4 linked regions of the Sus scrofa genome follow. The protein of the gene in region 1 purifies or fractionates together with the protein of each later gene. This does not show direct contact. Links are inferred from orthologs where the notes say so. Each region holds a gene or a part of one and is shown in the gene's direction. Other genes may lie near its edges. The genes, in order: YAF2, TFDP1, BCORL1 and L3MBTL2.

Region 1 (4,347 bases):
AGGCCTTAGATCTCTTCTCTTAATTGCTTTCCTTAATCACATTCCTCATGGTTTCTGGGTCTCTCAATCGAGGTCTGAGTCGTAAGAAGTGATGCTTGCAAAAAATACAGATGGTGCACTGAGTTCAGAAAGAGCTGTAAATTGTAAATTGATATGGTTAATTAGAAAACAGGGACTGAAAACAGAAATAGACTAACAGAGAGAAAAAAACAAACTTGTGGTTACCAAAGGGGAGAGGAAAGCAGGACAGACAAATTAGAAGTGAAGGATTAACAGACACAAAGGACTATGTCTAAAATAGATAAGCAACAAGGATAAACTGTACAGCACAGGGAATTATAGCCATTGTTATAATGTAAAGTGGAGTATAATCTGCAAAAATACTGAATCGCTATGCTGTACCTGAAACTTAATATTGTAAATCAACTATACTTCAGTTTAAAAAATAAAAAAGGAAGAGCGGCTTGCAGAAAGACTGACAGCATATCTGAGCTCTAAACCTAGCCAACTCATTTAACCTGGTCCCTATATTCCTTGTCTTTCAAATGAAGGGATAGGCTACTTGATGGGAATATTTGCACAGCACTTTGAGCCCTTTTAAAAACACGCATTGTGTAAAGAGACTTACAAAGTGCCAGCATAGAGTGCTAAAAAGTGTTAGTAGGCTTAAGAGTCCAGGAGCTTTAACCAAAGTTCTTGATCAGCGTGGTGACATAACGTTACCAGCATTTTATTATTAATCTGGTTGCGAATTACTGCTAAGATTGGGAAGGTGAGGCTGGAACTTCAGAGAGAGAGAGAGACCAGTAGGATGGCTGTTGCTAGAGTCTAGTAGAAGATGAGGGCATCCAGTACATTGCGGTAATGAAACCTGCTAGGAACGTGTTCTTAACAGGGCACACGCAAACTCGTTATTTAAAAGGAAGGGAAAAGGTCTTTTGAGTGTTTGGTTTTTTTTTTTTGCTGTTGTTGCTGTTTTCGTTTGTTTGTTTTTAAAGCAGCTACTGTAGAGGCTTGAGAGGCGAGGAGAGCTCATTTGGAATTAAAACAGTTAGATTCCTGGCTTCACCACCTCTAATTATGTAATATAGAGGAAGTCGCCTAACCTCTCTTGAACCTGGGTTTCGTTTTCTCCAAATTAAGGAGACAATCCCTACTTGGCCAGCATTTCTATGCACAAAACTAGGCAAGTGGCTTAGGGCACCTAGCAATGGCGCTGACGGGTGGCTCCCGCCTTCCCCCGGGTATCCTTAGGGCTAGAGCTGAGGAGCCAAGGACCGCTCAGGCCCGGAAAGCGGTTCCACCTGGAGACGGCGGCCGCGCACTCTGGTCCGGGGCCGGGCTGACCTCTGAACGCTGGCCCCACTTTGGACCAGGCTTCGCGCGGGAGGACGGCGCCTCCCCCGCCAGAGGGGCTCCGCGGACGCCGAGAGGGAGCGGGCGGCACCGGGCGAGAGACGGTGACGGCGCGGGAGGCTGGGATGGCCACCCCCACGCCGCCGCCCGCGAACTCGCCGGGAGTGCTGGGCCGCGCTGGCCGCGTTTGAAGTCTCCGGCGCGGCCGCTGGTTGGCTCGCGTGGGTCACGTGGCCCAGGCAGGAGTTTCCCCGACAGCTGGAGGCTGCGTGGGATCCGGCGGCGGCTCCGGAGCTCAGCGGTGCGGCCTTCCCCGCCCCCTCCCTCCTCCCCCGCCCGCTTCCGCCCGGCTTATTATCCTCCTTATTGACAAACAGAGCGGCCGCGGCGGCGACTCTCGGCGTGCGTTTGTGGCCAAGCCATGGGAGACAAGAAGAGCCCTACCAGGTAACAGCGCCCGGGCCCCCGGGCCCGGACTGTACAGGCGACGGGGCTCTCGCGGCGGGCTTCGGGCACTCGTCTCGCTCGCCGCCGGGGCAACGGGGCTAGAACGGGGGCGGCACCGCTGCTGCGCGAGCGCTGCCGCGTGAGGGGCCGGCGCCGGCCGCCCCACAATGGAGCCGCGATGGCGGAGGCCGGCGCGGCAGGCCGGGGTGTCCGAGCGGAGGCGGCGGCTGCGACCGCGCTCGCGCCCTCGCCTTCCTGACTCCCCTCCCCCTCTGAGCCCGAGGCGGGCGCGCCGGGCGCTGGCGGGGCGGGGGTCGCGGGCCTGGGGCGGGGGGCGGGGCGGGCGCGGCCGCGGGGCCCGGGCGCGGCCTGCTGGTGACCCCGCGCCGCGTCGTGTCCGGGTTGTGTCCTGCAGGCCGAAGCGGCAGCCGAAGCCGTCCTCGGATGAGGGTTACTGGGACTGTAGCGTCTGCACCTTCCGGAACAGCGCCGAGGCCTTCAAGTGCATGATGTGCGATGTGCGGAAGGGCACCTCCACCCGGTGAGTCCCGCGCCTGCCCTGCGCGCCGCCAGCCGGCGGGGTCGAGGCGCCGAGGACGCCCCTGCGGCTGCCGTCCCCTCCCGCGACACTCGCCCACCCGTCGGGCGGAGGCGAGACTGAGGTGGTGTCCGCGATAGGAACTGGGTCACGTTGATCGCGACCCTAGCGCTCGTTTGCGGTGAAGGGAAATTGAAGAGGCTGTAACGTTTCTTGCTGCCAAGAGAGAATAAATTATTAAAGAGAGGCATTAGCCACTGCGATTTAATGATTTAATTCATATCGCTGGGTGTAATGCCGCATCCCCCTTTCCCCAGCACACATTCCGGATGTAAGAACGTAGGCTGCATTGTTGTGTTAGTGTGTAGGAATCAAAGAAGCACCATGCAATCCTCTTTAGAAGCAAAAGATGTAATTTAATTTCCTTCCTCAAAAAAGTATCTGATTATAGAATACATAGTAGATTAAGCTTTTTTTTAATATAAACGTCTAGAAGGGTCAGATCAGGGTTTTGTGTAGTGTCTTTACCCCAGTTCTCTAACATTTTATAAATAGTTGAGGTGAGCCCAGTCACAGGGACACATTTTTACTGCAAGTATCTGACTTTATTTTGTTTGATTAAACGGCACTCTTATTAGACTATATGAATGAGATAAAATTAATCTTTGCGTATTTTCAGCCTTTATTTCATTGCAAGCTTACAGTATGATAACAGTCTTTAAAAAAAAACACTTAAGTGAATTAAGTGGATAAAGAAAATCATTCAGGAAATTTAAAGTCATGGGCATTCTTGATCTGCCAGCACGTAGTTACTGTGATTTATACCCTGGTATTTAGATGACATATTTTTGATTAAAGTCAATTAGAAAGTAAATTGTCACACCTATACTGATACAATAAACTGTTTTTTTTAAAGGATTATATAGTATTAATATATATTCAGTAGAAGTTAGATTTCTGAAAATGAGATATCCAGATTTTAAAACACTATTTACAGCATTTTATTAAATTTTTAAAATGTAGAGACAGAAATAGTTGTCAAAAACTTGAAATTTGTAGATTTGCTCAGTGAAGCTGGCTACTTTTGACATAACCTTTTTGTAAGTCATAATTCACTTTTGGTATATTCTCATTTACATTGGATAAAATATGTTGAGTATTTTCATGATGTCTTAAAAGGCAAACTTTCAAACATCTATTAAATTCAAGGGAATATAACAGAACATGCTAAAAGGAAAAAAATTTTGCTAAAATGAATGTGGACCCGTGATTAAACTATTTTTGAAAGCAGAGTATCTTTACATCTTTATGTCTATATAAGGTTGGATTTGGTCTAGATTATATTTGTATATCTATGTTAGTACTTTGTATTTTTTTAAATGCTCAATAAGCAATTTTCAGAAAATCTGGTTTTTGGAGGCAGGAAGTTTAATGTGGAGACAATTATTATAATCTTAACCTCTGGTTCAATATTGTTGCTTTTTGTTGTTCCCTCTCTATTTTCTTATAGCCATTAGAAAAATACTGAAACTAGAAGAGCTTATATGTTTATTTGCAGGGACAGCAAGGAAGGGGGGAAGCTGGTGTCCTACTCCACAGCCAGTCTTGGGGTTAGAGGAACCCTGAGAAATAGAGTAGGTGGTGGCAGCTCAGAAGAGAAGAAACAGGCCGAATACCTGGCACCTGGAAGAAGAAGGAATATAGTGCACAGGGGAGTTGGCCCAGGACAGAGAAGTGGGCCTAGTTTAAAAGAGGCTTGAGGCCCACATGGGGGCCCCTGACATTTTTTACCAGTACATCTGAGCTCTTATAGATCCAATTTTTAGTGGTGGAAACATTACTTGAGGAGGACTCAGAGAAGCATTGTCATTTGGATTGAAACTGAAGAGGCTCTGGGCAACTCACCAGAAGTCTAAGGGACACTCTGTTCCTAAAAGTAAGTGTTCGACACTACGACCCTCTCAGCTTCTTCCTTCCTCTCTCTGAATTTGTCTCTTCTCTTTTGA
Region 2 (4,077 bases), on another chromosome or scaffold:
CTGAAGAGAAAGAACGCGAATATCTCTGCTCCCTTCAAGAAACCAGCGCTAAGGTGTGAACAGTCTTAGGCCGGGAGGGGCTTTACTGGAGAAGCAGAGTGGGCGTGATCAGCATAAAAGCGGTTAAATTGGGAAACCGTCCGCGGCCGGGTGGAAACCTGCAAGATGAGAGGCCTTTGCTCTGTGCTCATGAACTTCGGACTTGACTCCCAGGCCCCTCCCGACCTCCGCAGCGTCTCTGGAACCAGAGCCCATGCCCTCTGGGGCCTTGGTGCTTGCGGGGGCGCCCAGAGGGGACGAGTCTCCGAGGCTCAGCGTCCACTAGGTCCAGCCCACCCAGTGATGAGGAGCCAACTCTCCTGCACTGAGAATGCTCTGAGGCTGGCTGGAGGCTGGGCGTGGGCACGGAGGCCGCTGGCAGCTCAGAACAGGAGCAGCAGGTGGACAGGGCTCTCTGCGCTGTGGGTGCACACGGCCCTCGCCTCGGTGCAACTACACACGCACACGCCTGGCCTCCTCTCCTTGCGCACCTACACATGCACCCGCCCCTACACGCCCATGGGCACCCAACCTCTCTTATTCTCGAATACGTATACACACTGTGCACACACTCGCCCCCCCATGTGCGCACTTCTGTACGTGCATACGCACACACTCAACCCATTCTCCGTGTGCACACCCATGAATGCATCTCTAGCCCCTGGGTACGCGCGCGCACATACACACACTTGCACACTGGCTCCAGACCTCTGTGCATACACACTCACCTGCACACTTTGCCCCTGTTCCTCATGTGCCCACACGTGTATACACACTCCTACCCCCCATTCCCCGGATGCACACACACCCGTGTACATGCACAGGTGCACACCTCCTCAGCTTCTGTCCCCCTCCCCAGGTGCTTATATACGCACGTGCACCCCTAGTCCCTGTCCGCCGCGTGCGCACACGTGCGCATATCCCCGGCCCAGCTCCCCCGCGTGCGCAACACCGCGCCCCGGGGGCTGGGACCTCCTCTCCATCTTTGCTCGGCGCGCGCACACACACGCGCGCACATGCGGACGCGCGCAGGCGCAGCCCAGCCCCCCGGAGCGCGAGCGCGGGCCGCGGAGCGGGAGGAGGAGGAGGAGGAGGAGGAGGAGGAGGAGGAGGAGGGAGCCGAAGGCGCGAAAAGGCGCGCAGGCGCGCTGCGGGAGCCGGGCCGCCGCCCACGTCACCGCGCCGCGCACGTCACGCCGCCCGACGCTCGCAGGGTGAGCCCCGCGCCCCGGCGCCTCGGCAGGGCAGGGACCCCGGCCGAGCGCCGCCGGGACCGCCCGCTCTTCCGCGCCCGCCCGCGTGTGCGCGCCGCTGTCCGCGCGCCGACCTCCCGCCCGCCAGGTGCGGCGGGCCGGGGTCCCGGAGGGGCGCACGCGCCGGGCGCCTGCGGACCCCGACCGACCCCCGCCCCCGCGCGCCGCGTGCGCCGACCGGTCCCCGCGCGCCAGGGCCGCCGCGTGGGCGCCCAGGTGACCGGCCCGGCGGGGTCGCGGGCCAGGGTCCCCGTCGGGGCCTGCAGGGGCCTCCGGGCGGAGCAGCGCGCGCATCGGCGTCTGCGCCCGGCGGGGGTTGGGGCGGGCCGAGTCCGAGCGCACGGGGTCCGGGGTGCGGGGTGCGGGGGCCCGGCGGCGCCGACCCCACCTGCCCGCCGACTGCCGGTTCCGGGGCGTGGGGGGCGCTCGCGGGAGGCCGCCGCGGCCTAGTGACAGGCTGGAGGCCGGGACCCCGGAAGCCCACCTGTCAGAGTTACGGGTCGGCTGGTGGTCGCGGGTGGGCCGGGGCGCCCGTGGGGAGCGCGTGTGCGCAGAGACTGGGGCTGCGCCGGGTGGGAACGCGGGCCGCCAGTGCGGGCTCGGCCTCGCTGCTGGCTCTTTGTGCGCGTCTGGGGAGGCCGGCGGGCATTCTGGTGGCGGACGAGCTTCCATTCCTGAGATGACTTTAAAATCCCCAGCGTGGGGGCTGTTTCTGCGGCCCCGCTCCGAGGGTGGAGTGTGGGCATGGAGAGGAAGGCGCCGCTCCCCTGAGCCGCGGTGGGGATGGTGGTGGTGCTGGGGGGAAACGCTGAGGTTTGTGAACTTCTTATTTCATCCTTATTCACTCCTTGCTTTTCCTTTCTTCTTTTTACCAGAAAAGTCATTTTTCTTCTCTGGAGGGTGAACAACTATAGCATCGATTTCACGGATCTGGTAACATGGCAAAAGATGTAAGTATGTTTGCTTCCTGCTGGACGCATGTTTGCCTACTGATACATTCTTGGTAGTTTCCCGATTTTGTTTCAGAATGACAGCACACAACATTCAGGAGCGTTTATGTTCAGACTCTTAAAGCACATGAAACACGCTAAAGGTGAGGAACCCAGAGGAGCCCCGGTGGCCTTTATGGAGGGTACTTTGCAGGCCTGAGCCCCCAGGGGGGCCAATGCCCGATGGGGCTTGACTGACCCGATCTGTGGGTCTCTTCTGACTGGTTAACTTGGAAATCTGAGTGCCTTGGTGGGGGACCCTGGGCAGGCGCTGGACTCGGTGGAATGGCGCTGAGCATCCTCTGCAGGTACCGTGTAGGATGTTACTTCAGCTTTGAGCCGTAACAGGCTAAGCACTGGGTTTGGCAGCCTTTTTTCTCAGAAAAAGTGGCACTTGGTGCCTAGTGAAGTGGGGTGCAAAAATTCTACTTTAGCTTTATATTTGTCGGGGAGCTATAGAATTTGATGAGTTAGTTTTTTTCTCTTGTTTTAAGAAGTAGGCTTTTCGGCCCCAAGATTTCGGCTTTTATCATTTGGGCAGCTCTTTCGATCCTGGGTGACATCCGTGAAATTCACTGAAACCCCGGCTCCTCCTTTAGCGTGTCTCAGGACGTGCTGTTCCGTAAACATTAATGAAAAGAGGCAGTTTATTTATTTACTCGTGTGTTGCGTGGAGGTGGAAATGCAGCTCTGAGGACGTGCATCTGCCTGAGACACAGCCGGAGGGTAAAGCACGTCCCTGTTGGTGGCGCCAGGAAACGGGCATGATGCCTCCGTCACCTCGCGGGTTTGAACCTTCTGCAGGGCGCCTGTCGGAAGGCACCCCACCCGCTGGGCCTTAGGCTGTGGGCCCCCGCGCCAGTTAGTTTGGCAGAGCGGGTGAACACGGGGCTAGTGTGGTGGGTTTGAGCTTAAAACCAGAGTCTGTGTGTGATGTGCAGGTGGTGTTACCTTCTAATCGTCAGTGGCCAGGCCCAGTTCTCTGCCACTGTCGCCCGGAAGACGCAGGACGGGAGCTGGTGCTCAGCAGGGGTGCAGCTGCCCCCATGCCTCCCATCGTGGGTGGAGGTGGGGAGCTGAGTTTGCCTCTCGTCCTGTCTGAACCCCCTGGAGGAGGCGTCCTCTCCCTCCCCCTGGGCATCCGGGGGATGGGAAGACAGTCCAGGCCCGTGCCTGGTTCCAGGAGACTCCTGAGCGGCCTCCTCCGAAGGTCACTCCTGGAGGTCAGCCCAGCGAAGGCTGGGTCGCTGTGGGCCACCTGGTGGCTGGGTGGGGGTGATGGGGACCACCCGTTGAGCTTGGGTACGTGACACAGTGGAGGTTGGTGTCGCGGTGAGAACAGCCAGGTAAGAAGCAGTGGCTTTGCCTGTCCTGGGTTGGGGTCGGCAGGTGTGCTGGAACCGGGTCTCTCCAGGGCTGTGCTTGGCGGGACAGAGGCTGCGGGCCGCTCAGGCTCAGCCCCGTCTCCCCCTGCGCTGGGTCTTAGGTCAGGTGTGACATTGGAATCTGGGAAGCTGACCATTGTCGGGGGGTAGGGGGCAGGCATAGGAGGCTCACTCTGCCCTTGGGGGTAAGGTCAAAGCCTGCAAGCACCTCGCACAGCCTCTGGCTGAAGCGGGTGGGCTGGGACCCCAGCTGGGCCATTGGGCCCAGGGAGGCTGGCGTTAGGTTCGGGGGAGGCGGGGGGTCCCAGTGGAGGCGGACAAACTCGGGGACTGATGGGGGCAGCCAGCCTGCAGAGGCCCGGGGAGGGTGGCGATTGAGGGCCGTCCTGCTGGTGGTCAGTTCCCCGAGAA
Region 3 (4,050 bases), on another chromosome or scaffold:
TCTGCACATAAAGATTTTTTTTCAAATTCCTGCTATTCATTGCACATTCCATTTACAAAGCCCTGAACCCTCCAGGAACTGCTGGCCACCTCCCCTAGTACTCTCTAGGCTGAGGAGATGCCTTTGAAGTCCCCACCACGGACTCAGGGTTGGAGCTGCTAAGAAACACCCTTAGACTGAAAGCAAGTCTGCCGGCAGCTTCAGCTCCATCGCAAGCTGCTCTCTTCCTCCGAGTTAATGTAAAGTCATCAGAGTTCCAATGTGGACCGCAGGCTTCTCAGCCCTTCAGTCCTGGGGATAGCCTGGGATGTAAACACAAACGAGGATTTATTTCTTTGGCCAGGCAAGGAGTCGTTAGGGTAAAGGGTAGGGGTCAAGGGGTTCAGTCTGATGACTGAGGAGCCCCGGGAAAGCGGGCAGAAGCCCAGCCCTCTTCGAGCCAGGTTTTCGGCCCAAGTCGTGCAGGCTTCCCCCTTTACAGACCTTTCGTCCCCCTCCTCCTTCCTCCCTCGGGCCTCTCGCTCCTGCCCACCCCACCCCCCCGCGCGCCCCCGATGCCTCCACGCCCAGGCCGAGGGCTGCCCTTTGGAGGTCTGCCCGGTGTGTGTGTGGGGGGGTGTTGCAGCCCGGGAGGCTGCCACGAAGGGTGGGCCGCCCCGGAGACGCGAGGCGAGGCAGCGAGCCCCGGCATTTTCCCTTCCCCAGCACCTGTCCCACTTCGGCGCCGGGGCCGGGGCTGCACCCGCGGGCGGCCTCAGTGCCAGAGCGCCGGAGCCACGCACCGAGGTCGCCCGGGTTAGGGAAGTGGGGGACCGGGGGAGGGGCGGGGCGTCCGGCGGGGGCGCCCCCCCGCAAGCAAGACCCTACCCCCCAATACACTGAGGCTAAACCGAGAGAGAGAGAGAGACAGAGAGAGAGAGAGAGAGAGAGAGAGAGAGAGAGAGTCACATAAAGCTCGAGCGAAAACGTTCGCTCTCCGACCCCGTGCGGCGTTGCTCGCCCCCCCTCCTTCCTGGAGCCAGGGGCTGGCCGAAGAAGGTGGCTCCGTTCTTCCCCCGTGGCCAGTGCGGGGTCTGCGGCTGCCCGGCGAGGTTCCGGCTTCCCCGGGGCTGGCAGGGGGAGCCCCGAGAACTGCAGGCCCGCCCCCCCTTCCTCCTCCTCCTTCCCCTCCTCCCCCACGTGTCCTCCCGGAGCCCAGCGGCCTGATCCCAGCACCCCCCCCACCCACCCCGCCACCTCCCTCCTCCTCCCGCTTCGCCAGCTTCCCCGGCAGCGTGGAGAAGAGCAAAGTTGCGACAGGGGCCAAGGGGCTATGCCCAGGTGAAGGGGGCGCCGTGGGGGGGGGCGCGGCCCTGTGGCGGGGGCGGAGGGAAGATAAAGAAACTTGTTTTCCGCGGCCCCCACCCCGCGCGGGTTCGGGTCTTGCGTGGACCGAGCCCTCGTGGCGAGACGCGGCAACGCCGCCGGGACCGAGGCCGGCACCGGGATCCGGACCCGGACCGAACGCCTGAGTCGGCTCGGCGGGCGCAGGCAGCGGGCCAGGCCGGCACCCAGGCAAGGGCGGGGTGGGTGGCCGTACACCGGACCGAACCGGGGACTCCGGTGGCCTGGGCGCTGGCCGAACCCGGACCGGGCCGAGTTGGGTGGCGAAGTAGGACGTGGATTCGGGGGCGGGGCGCGGCGGGAGGGGGAAACCAGGCCCGGCCGGAGTGGCCTGGGCGTGGGGGCGGGGGGCGAGTTCGGGGCACTTGCTGGGCTCGGGACCGAGCGGTAGGGCGGGGCGGCGCTAGGGGCTGGGCCGGACCCGCGGGGAGAGGGCGAGGGGAGGGGGAGCCGGGGGTGGAGTAGGGGCGTGGAGTTGCGAGCGGGGTCTGGCCTCGGCCGGGGGCGAAGGTAGATCGGCGGGGCCGCCAGCGGAGGGAGGGAGGCCCGCGGCAGCGCGGCGGCGGCGAAGGCCAGCTTCCGCGGAGTTTGTGCCCGGGCTTCCCGGGCTCCGGCCGCCTCACGCGCACAAATGGGTCTAGGGGATTGACTGGTAAGCAACTACGAGTGTTAGACGGTGTTCGGCGGCGATTCCGGGAAAAGCGAGGAGAGACACTGTCTGCAATTATGCCGCACCCCCCCACCCACCTCTTTAGCATCTGGATTCTGCTCTCAGGGGGCCGCGGACCCTCCCTGCCACAACCCTTTCACTCTCCAGCACTCCCACCGACTCCCCCCACCTCCTCGGCCATCTGACTCTTCTAGGGGTGTGTGTTTGGGGGTGGACGACGGCGGGGGGGGTATACTTTTTCTCTCGCGGCGGCAGCCTAGTTCGTATCTTATTCCTACATGTAGCGTCGCTACGAGTCGCGTGGACATTGGGGTTTGGATAATCTACCCCCAACTAACTCCCCCCTCCAAGCGATTTGATGGCTTTTAAGGAAAGAGACGAATCCCTGGATTTCCACGCCTGGGATGAGGTTTAAGGATTGGGATTCATCCCCAGCTCACTTCAATTACCAACCCCTCTTTTCTTGTGAGCCATTTCCACGGGGATCCGAACTTGAAGGGGGGGAACGGGAGTATTAATGTTCTTCTCTATCTCTACACAGGGTCGGTGTGGCCAAGGACGGCTAGTCTCGGAGGGAAAGTAGCCACCAGTCCAACTCCGGTCACCCCCACTATTACTTCAGTGAGGGGGCAACGCCAAGAAGGGGATTTTGGTGGGTAAGGGCCCAGTATACGGGAGGGGGCTGGGTAGTCTCCCCCGATGGACTCCCTTTCTTGGCGGGGAGCGAGACGCGAGCCCCGGCTTCAAGGGAGGGGTTCCGGGGAGGGAGGTGGGGGGGTGGCGACGGGGGGGCGGGAAGAAGGGGGGAGTCACGCCCTGCCAGCAAGGGGAGCCTCCCTCAGGCCCCTGGGAGAAGGGGACTGAATGCGTCTGCTCTGTGCTGCGGGGCAGGAGAGATCTGGGATCTCTGGATTTGCACACTGGATCCAGCACCGGTGGCCTGAGAAAGTCAGGTCGGGGCATAAGGTGGAAAGCGTTGGAAGAAAGAGAAACCCCTGGCCGTGGGGCACTGATCTTTTCCCTTCCTCAACCTCCCCCTTCGTGGGGCGTACGGGGGGGGCGTGGGGTTCCTGCAGCCCCTCGGATTGAGCGCCTCCGCCTCTCCTGGGAGTCTAGCTTTTTGCCCGGCTTGCTGCAGCCACTGCTGCCTCCCTCTCCGGAATCCGCTCGGTCCTCGCAGCGATCCCCTCCTCCTCCCCTCCCCTCCCAGTGTCACCGGGGCTGCTTGGCTCTGCCCCCTTCGCCGCCGCTTGCTCCCTGCTTTCGTCCCTCCCTCTCTTGCTCGCTCCCTCCCTTCGCCTCCTCCTCCCCATTCCTCCCCCCCCCGCACAGGCGGCATTCTGGGAGCTGTAGTCCCGCGGAGCGGGGGCTGGCGCCGCCCGCGAACCCGATCGGACTCCACTTCCCGGCGAGCCCTGCGACCGGCACCCACTCCACCAGGCTTCGCTCGCACACACAGACACACACACACACCGCTCTCCCCCTCACTCTTTCGCTCGCCGCGGCTGCTGCCAGTGTGTGGCTCTGTCTCTCCTCCGCTTTGCTGAGCCCTCCCTTCTTCCTCTCAGTTCCTAGAGTCCGACCGCCGCCGCCGCCGAAAGAGAGGAGAAGGAGGTCGGTGGCGATAAGGGGCGGAGGGGGCATCAGATCGGGGTAGTATTAGGCGGGTGGTGGCTCCGAGGGGGTAAGAGGGAGTCCGGGTGGCGGCCTGAGCCTCCCCGCGGAGCCGACTCGGGAACAGGTGCGTCTTTTTTTTCTCTCCCCCAACCCCTCCACCCCTTTTGAGTCCCCGGCTTTCTCGTATCCCCCACCCGCTTCTTTCTACCTTCAGCCTTTCCCCAACCCTGTCCCTTCTTCGCCCCCCGGCCGCTCTGCTTGCCCCCCGGGGGCGCCGTCCTCTCCGTGTCCCCGGACGTAGCGCTCCCTGGAGCTCGCTCTGTCCTCGCCCCTCCCTTCGGGACAGCTCCCCTCCACTTCCCACCTTCGTACCCCATCCT
Region 4 (4,239 bases), about 66 Mb from region 1:
TTCTTTTATTTTATTTTGGGCTGCATCATGCTCATGGCATGTGAAAGTTCCTGAGCTAGGGATCAAAGCCACGCCACAGCAGTGACCTGAGCCACAGCTGTGACAACACCAGATCCTTAGCTTGCTAGGGAGCTAAGTCAAGCAGAATTCTTTTCTTTTCTTTTTTTTTTTTGGTTTTTTGTCTTTTTAGGGCCACACCCACAGCCTATGGAGGTTCCCAGGCTAGGGGTCTCATCAGAACTGTAGCCGCAGGCCTACGCCACAGCCACAGCAATGCCAGATCTGAGCTGTGTCTTTGACCTACACCACAGCTCACGGCAACACCAGATCCTTAACCCACTGAGTGAGGCCACGGATCGAACCCACAGCCTCAAGGTTCCTAGTCAGATTCGTTAACCACTGAGGCACAAAGGGAACTCCAAGAATTCTTAACTCCAAACTCATTCATTCCTTGTACAGTTTCTAACCACTACAGAATATGGTCCCACTGTCTACCTATCCAGAGTAGACAGGCACCTTTACCCAGAGTCACTCTGGATTCCTCCCTCTTCCAAACCTACTCCAAACAATTAATTACTGCCTCCAATATATTTCTCAAATTCTTCTACTTTTTTGCCAGCCTTCTAAGTCTGGCCTGATTCAAGCCACCATCATCCTTCCCCTGGATCAGTACAAGTGCCTTCTAACTTGTCTCCTTGCTGCTTCTCTCTCTCTCTCTCTCTGTTTTTGGCCTCACCGGTGGCATGAAGAAGTTCCTGGGCCAGAGATCAGACAAGCACTACAGCAGCAACCAGAGCCCAGCAGAAATAACTGCTGTATACTTAACTCCTTTCTTTCTCTTTCTCTCTTTCTTTTTCTTTCCTTCCTTCTTTTCTTTTTTCTTTTCAGGGCCCCAGGTGGGGCATATGGAAGTTCCCAGGCTAGGGGTCAAATCGGAGCTATAGCTGCTGGGCCAAGCCATCCCAGATCCAAGCCACGTCTGTGACCTACACCACAGCTCACAGCGACGCAGGATCCTTAAACCACTGAGCCAGGCCAGGGATAGAACCTGCATCGTCACTGATGCTAGTTGGGTTCCTAACCAGCTGAGCTACAACAGGAACTCTAAGCACCCTAAATTTCTAATCAGGGAGAGTGCGAAATTATTCCCAGCTCCTGAACAGTGCGTATCTTAGGTAGTCAATGATGTTTAATGAAGAATGGGGTCAGAATGATGTAAACAGCTCTACGTGGATAAAGGGTAACAGTCCCCGCAAGCCGCAGCAGGGCTAAGGCGGGGGGCTTTCCCCTTCGTTGTGGCAACGCCCGCTTCAGCACGCACCCACTAGGGAACTACAAGTCCCACAAGCGCCCGCTGCTTCCCCACCTCCAAGAGAGGCGGGCCGGGGGCTAGCGCGGAACCGGCTTTTCCTCTTTCCCGCAGCCTGATTGGCCCGAGGCTCTGAGAGGCGGCCAATGAGTGCGCTCGGGAAGAGCGGCCAGGCCAATATGGCTTCCTGCACCTGGTGACGGTCGAAGAAAGGGTGTTAGGTCTCATGGAGAAGCCCCGGGGCGTCGAGGTGAGAGGGAGCGGACGTCTCGTGCCTGGGGAAGGGAACCCCGGGAGCCTCACTCGGTGGACCCTTCCTCAGGCCTTTGAGCGACGCCTGGAGGGTGGAGGGCGGGAGGATGGATACACAGGTAGTGAGGCTGAGCGGGCCGGAGGCGATTGGCCGTGCTTTTTGCTCGCGCGCCGCTGGAGCCGAGGAGTTGAGGGAGGAGCAGCCCCTCTGGCCTAGGGGAAGGGGAGTGGGGTTCAGGATCTGAGCGCTCCAGCATCGTCTTCCTCCTCCTTGTCTCGTGGCGGTGGTCTTTCGTGATCGTGAGGGAGGCCTGTCACATTCCGATGGGAAGTAAAGGAAGATTAAAGTTTCATGAACAGTCCGTTTATTAAAGTTTAATAAACAGTCCGTGCCTGGAGCGTTCACGTGCATTATCTCTCCGATACTCAGCAGTCCTATGTTATTGTCTGGTTTGCATGGTTCGAGTGGCTGAGGCTTAGAGAGGTGATGAGCCTTCCCAGGAGAGTCACAGGGCTGTAAAGTGTAGATAGTCACTAAGTCTGCCAAGTTCCAAAACTCGACCTGTCTTATCTTTTCCACTGTACCACAACCTGTAACCCACTCATCCAGTAATCATTTGGCTCCTGGTCACCTTACATTTGAATTTGGTGACCTTTCTAGCATATTTGCATATGTAGGTTTGTTTTTGTTTTGTTTTTGTTTGTTTGTTGCTTTTGAGGGCTGAACCCACGACATATGGCCGTTTCCAGGCTAGGGGTTGAATCGGAGCTACAGCCGCCAGCCTATGCCACAGCCACAGCCACAGCAACGCCAAATCCGAGCTGAATCTGGGGCCTACACCACAACTCACCACAACGCCAGATCCTTAACCCTCTGAGGGAGGCCAGGGATCGAACCCACAACCTCATGGTTCCTGGTCGGATTGGTTTCCGCTGCGCCAGGAGGGGAACTCCTGTAGTTTTAAATATAAAGTGGAAGAGCTCAAAAACAATACAAGGGTCAAGGAGAATAACCATAAAGTGGAGAATAAAAGTTATAACTCAGTTTTGAACTTTCAGTAACTGCTGGAAACAGCTAGACTTGAGGCATCTTAGCAGTGTTCACAGCAGTCCTCTATAGAAGGTGTTGTTATTATATCCTTGGTACTGATGGAGAAACTAAGAGCAGTAGGTTAAATATCTTAACACAGAATCCCACAGGTGATAATAAGTGGGAGAACTTGGATTCAAACTCAGGCAAATCTGGTTTGAGAACCCATGCTTTTAACCAGTAATGACTGCCAACATTTATTGAGCACTTGCTGTGGGCAAGTCAATTTTCTGAGTGTCTTACCTATATTAACCCTTACTTCTCCCCCAAAGTCTGTGAAATAGGTGGAACTGCCCTCATTTACAGATGAGGAAGTCGAGGCACTGAGTTGGATCTGCTTCAGGCCATACAGCTAGAAAGCAGTAAGGATGGTATTGGATCCCTGGCCTAGAGCCCAAACTCCTCACACCTTTTCGACTACATGGCAGGTAGATTTATATATACATTATCTCATTTACATTCCTGTGAGCCAAATATTTTTCTTATTTTATAGATGAGAAAATTGAGGTGTCCCCACTGTGGCAAAGTGGATTAAGAATCTGACTGCAGGGAGTTCCCGTCGTGGCTCAGTGGTTAATGAATCCGACTAGGAACCATGAGGTTGCGGGTTCCATCCCTGGCCTTGCTTGTGGGTTAAGGATCTGGCGTTGCCCTGAGCTGTGGTGTAGGTTGCAGACACGTCTCGGATCCCGAGTTGCTGTGGCTCTGGTCTAGGCTGGCAGCTACAGCTCTGATTAGACCCCCAGCCTGGAACCTCCATATGCCGCAGGAGCGGCCCTAGAAAAGACAAAAAAAAAAAAAAAAAAAAAGAATCTGACTGCAGCAGCTCAGGTTGTTGCAGAGGCTCGGGTTTAACGCCTGGCCCAGCGCAGTGGGTTAAAGGGTCTGGTGTTGCCACAGCTTGCAGCATTAAGTCACAGCTGCGGCTCAGATTCAATTCTTGATCCTGGAAACTTCCATATGCCACAGGTATGGCCATTAAAAAAAAAAAAGGAGTTGCCGTCGGGGCTCAGTGCCAATGAACCATGAGGACGCAGGTTTGATCCCTGTCCTCACTCAGTGGGTTAAGGATCTGGCATTGCCATGAGCTGTAGGTCGAAGATGTGGCTCAGATCCTGCGTTGCTGTGGCTGTGGTGTGGGCCAGTAGCTACAGCTCCAATTCAACCCCTAGGCTGGGAACCTCCATATGCCCCAGGAGCGGCCCTAAAAAAAAAAAAAAAAAAAAAAAAAATTGAGAGACCCAGAGAGGTGAAATGACTTGCCTGAGAATAGTTAGGATCAGAGTTGAGTCCAAAGCTGTGGTATATACCACTATATTATAGCTAGTCTGTCATTTGCCTCCCAAATCCTCTTTAGGGCAGTCTGGATCCCAAATTAACTTTTCTCTGACTTAAATTGTTTGTTTTTTGGGGCCGTGCCCACGGCTTACAGCCGTTCCCAGGCTAGCGATTGGAACCTTGTGCTATAGCAGTGACACAGCTGCTGCAGTGACAGCACCGATCCGTAAACTGCTGTACCACAAGGGAAATCCTGACTTAAACTGTTTTTGAGTTGAAATTATTTTGCTGAAGGGGGAAGGATGAGTTT

Evidence for each region.
Region 2: the proteins of YAF2 (region 1) and TFDP1 purify together in Homo sapiens (affinity purification with mass spectrometry; 3 studies listed by BioGRID and IntAct, counting the BioPlex papers as one, with this or other methods). This does not show direct contact. The link is inferred for Sus scrofa from reciprocal best matches to the Homo sapiens genes YAF2 and TFDP1.
Region 3: the proteins of YAF2 (region 1) and BCORL1 purify together in Homo sapiens (affinity purification with mass spectrometry; 5 studies listed by BioGRID and IntAct, counting the BioPlex papers as one, with this or other methods). This does not show direct contact. The link is inferred for Sus scrofa from reciprocal best matches to the Homo sapiens genes YAF2 and BCORL1.
Region 4: the proteins of YAF2 (region 1) and L3MBTL2 purify together in Homo sapiens (affinity purification with mass spectrometry; 5 studies listed by BioGRID and IntAct, counting the BioPlex papers as one, with this or other methods). This does not show direct contact. The link is inferred for Sus scrofa from reciprocal best matches to the Homo sapiens genes YAF2 and L3MBTL2.

What each region holds. Positions count from the first base shown.
Region 1 is NC_010447.5:73,494,517-73,498,863, reverse strand, and holds the start of YAF2 (YY1-associated factor 2), read left to right. Parts: upstream 1-1,516; 5' UTR 1,517-1,777; coding exon 1,778-1,803; intron 1,804-2,218; coding exon 2,219-2,344; intron 2,345-3,899; coding exon of another isoform or gene 3,900-4,101; exon of another isoform or gene 4,102-4,282; intron 4,283-4,347. UniProt on the Homo sapiens protein: Binds to MYC and inhibits MYC-mediated transactivation. Also binds to MYCN and enhances MYCN-dependent transcriptional activation. Increases calpain 2-mediated proteolysis of YY1 in vitro.
Region 2 is NC_010453.5:78,754,278-78,758,354, forward strand, and holds the start of TFDP1 (transcription factor Dp-1), read left to right. Parts: upstream 1-1,244; 5' UTR 1,245-1,380; intron 1,381-2,167; 5' UTR 2,168-2,230; coding exon of another isoform or gene 2,231-2,242; 5' UTR 2,243-4,077. UniProt on the Homo sapiens protein: Can stimulate E2F-dependent transcription.
Region 3 is NC_010461.5:106,546,545-106,550,594, forward strand, and holds the start of BCORL1 (BCL-6 corepressor-like protein 1), read left to right. Parts: upstream 1-1,213; 5' UTR 1,214-1,320; intron 1,321-1,884; exon of another isoform or gene 1,885-2,035; intron 2,036-2,063; exon of another isoform or gene 2,064-2,249; intron 2,250-2,594; 5' UTR 2,595-2,705; intron 2,706-2,944; exon of another isoform or gene 2,945-3,667; intron 3,668-4,050. UniProt on the Homo sapiens protein: Transcriptional corepressor. May specifically inhibit gene expression when recruited to promoter regions by sequence-specific DNA-binding proteins such as BCL6.
Region 4 is NC_010447.5:7,274,808-7,279,046, reverse strand, and holds the start of L3MBTL2 (lethal(3)malignant brain tumor-like protein 2), read left to right. Parts: upstream 1-1,413; 5' UTR 1,414-1,535; coding exon 1,536-1,559; intron 1,560-4,239. UniProt on the Homo sapiens protein: Putative Polycomb group (PcG) protein. PcG proteins maintain the transcriptionally repressive state of genes, probably via a modification of chromatin, rendering it heritably changed in its expressibility.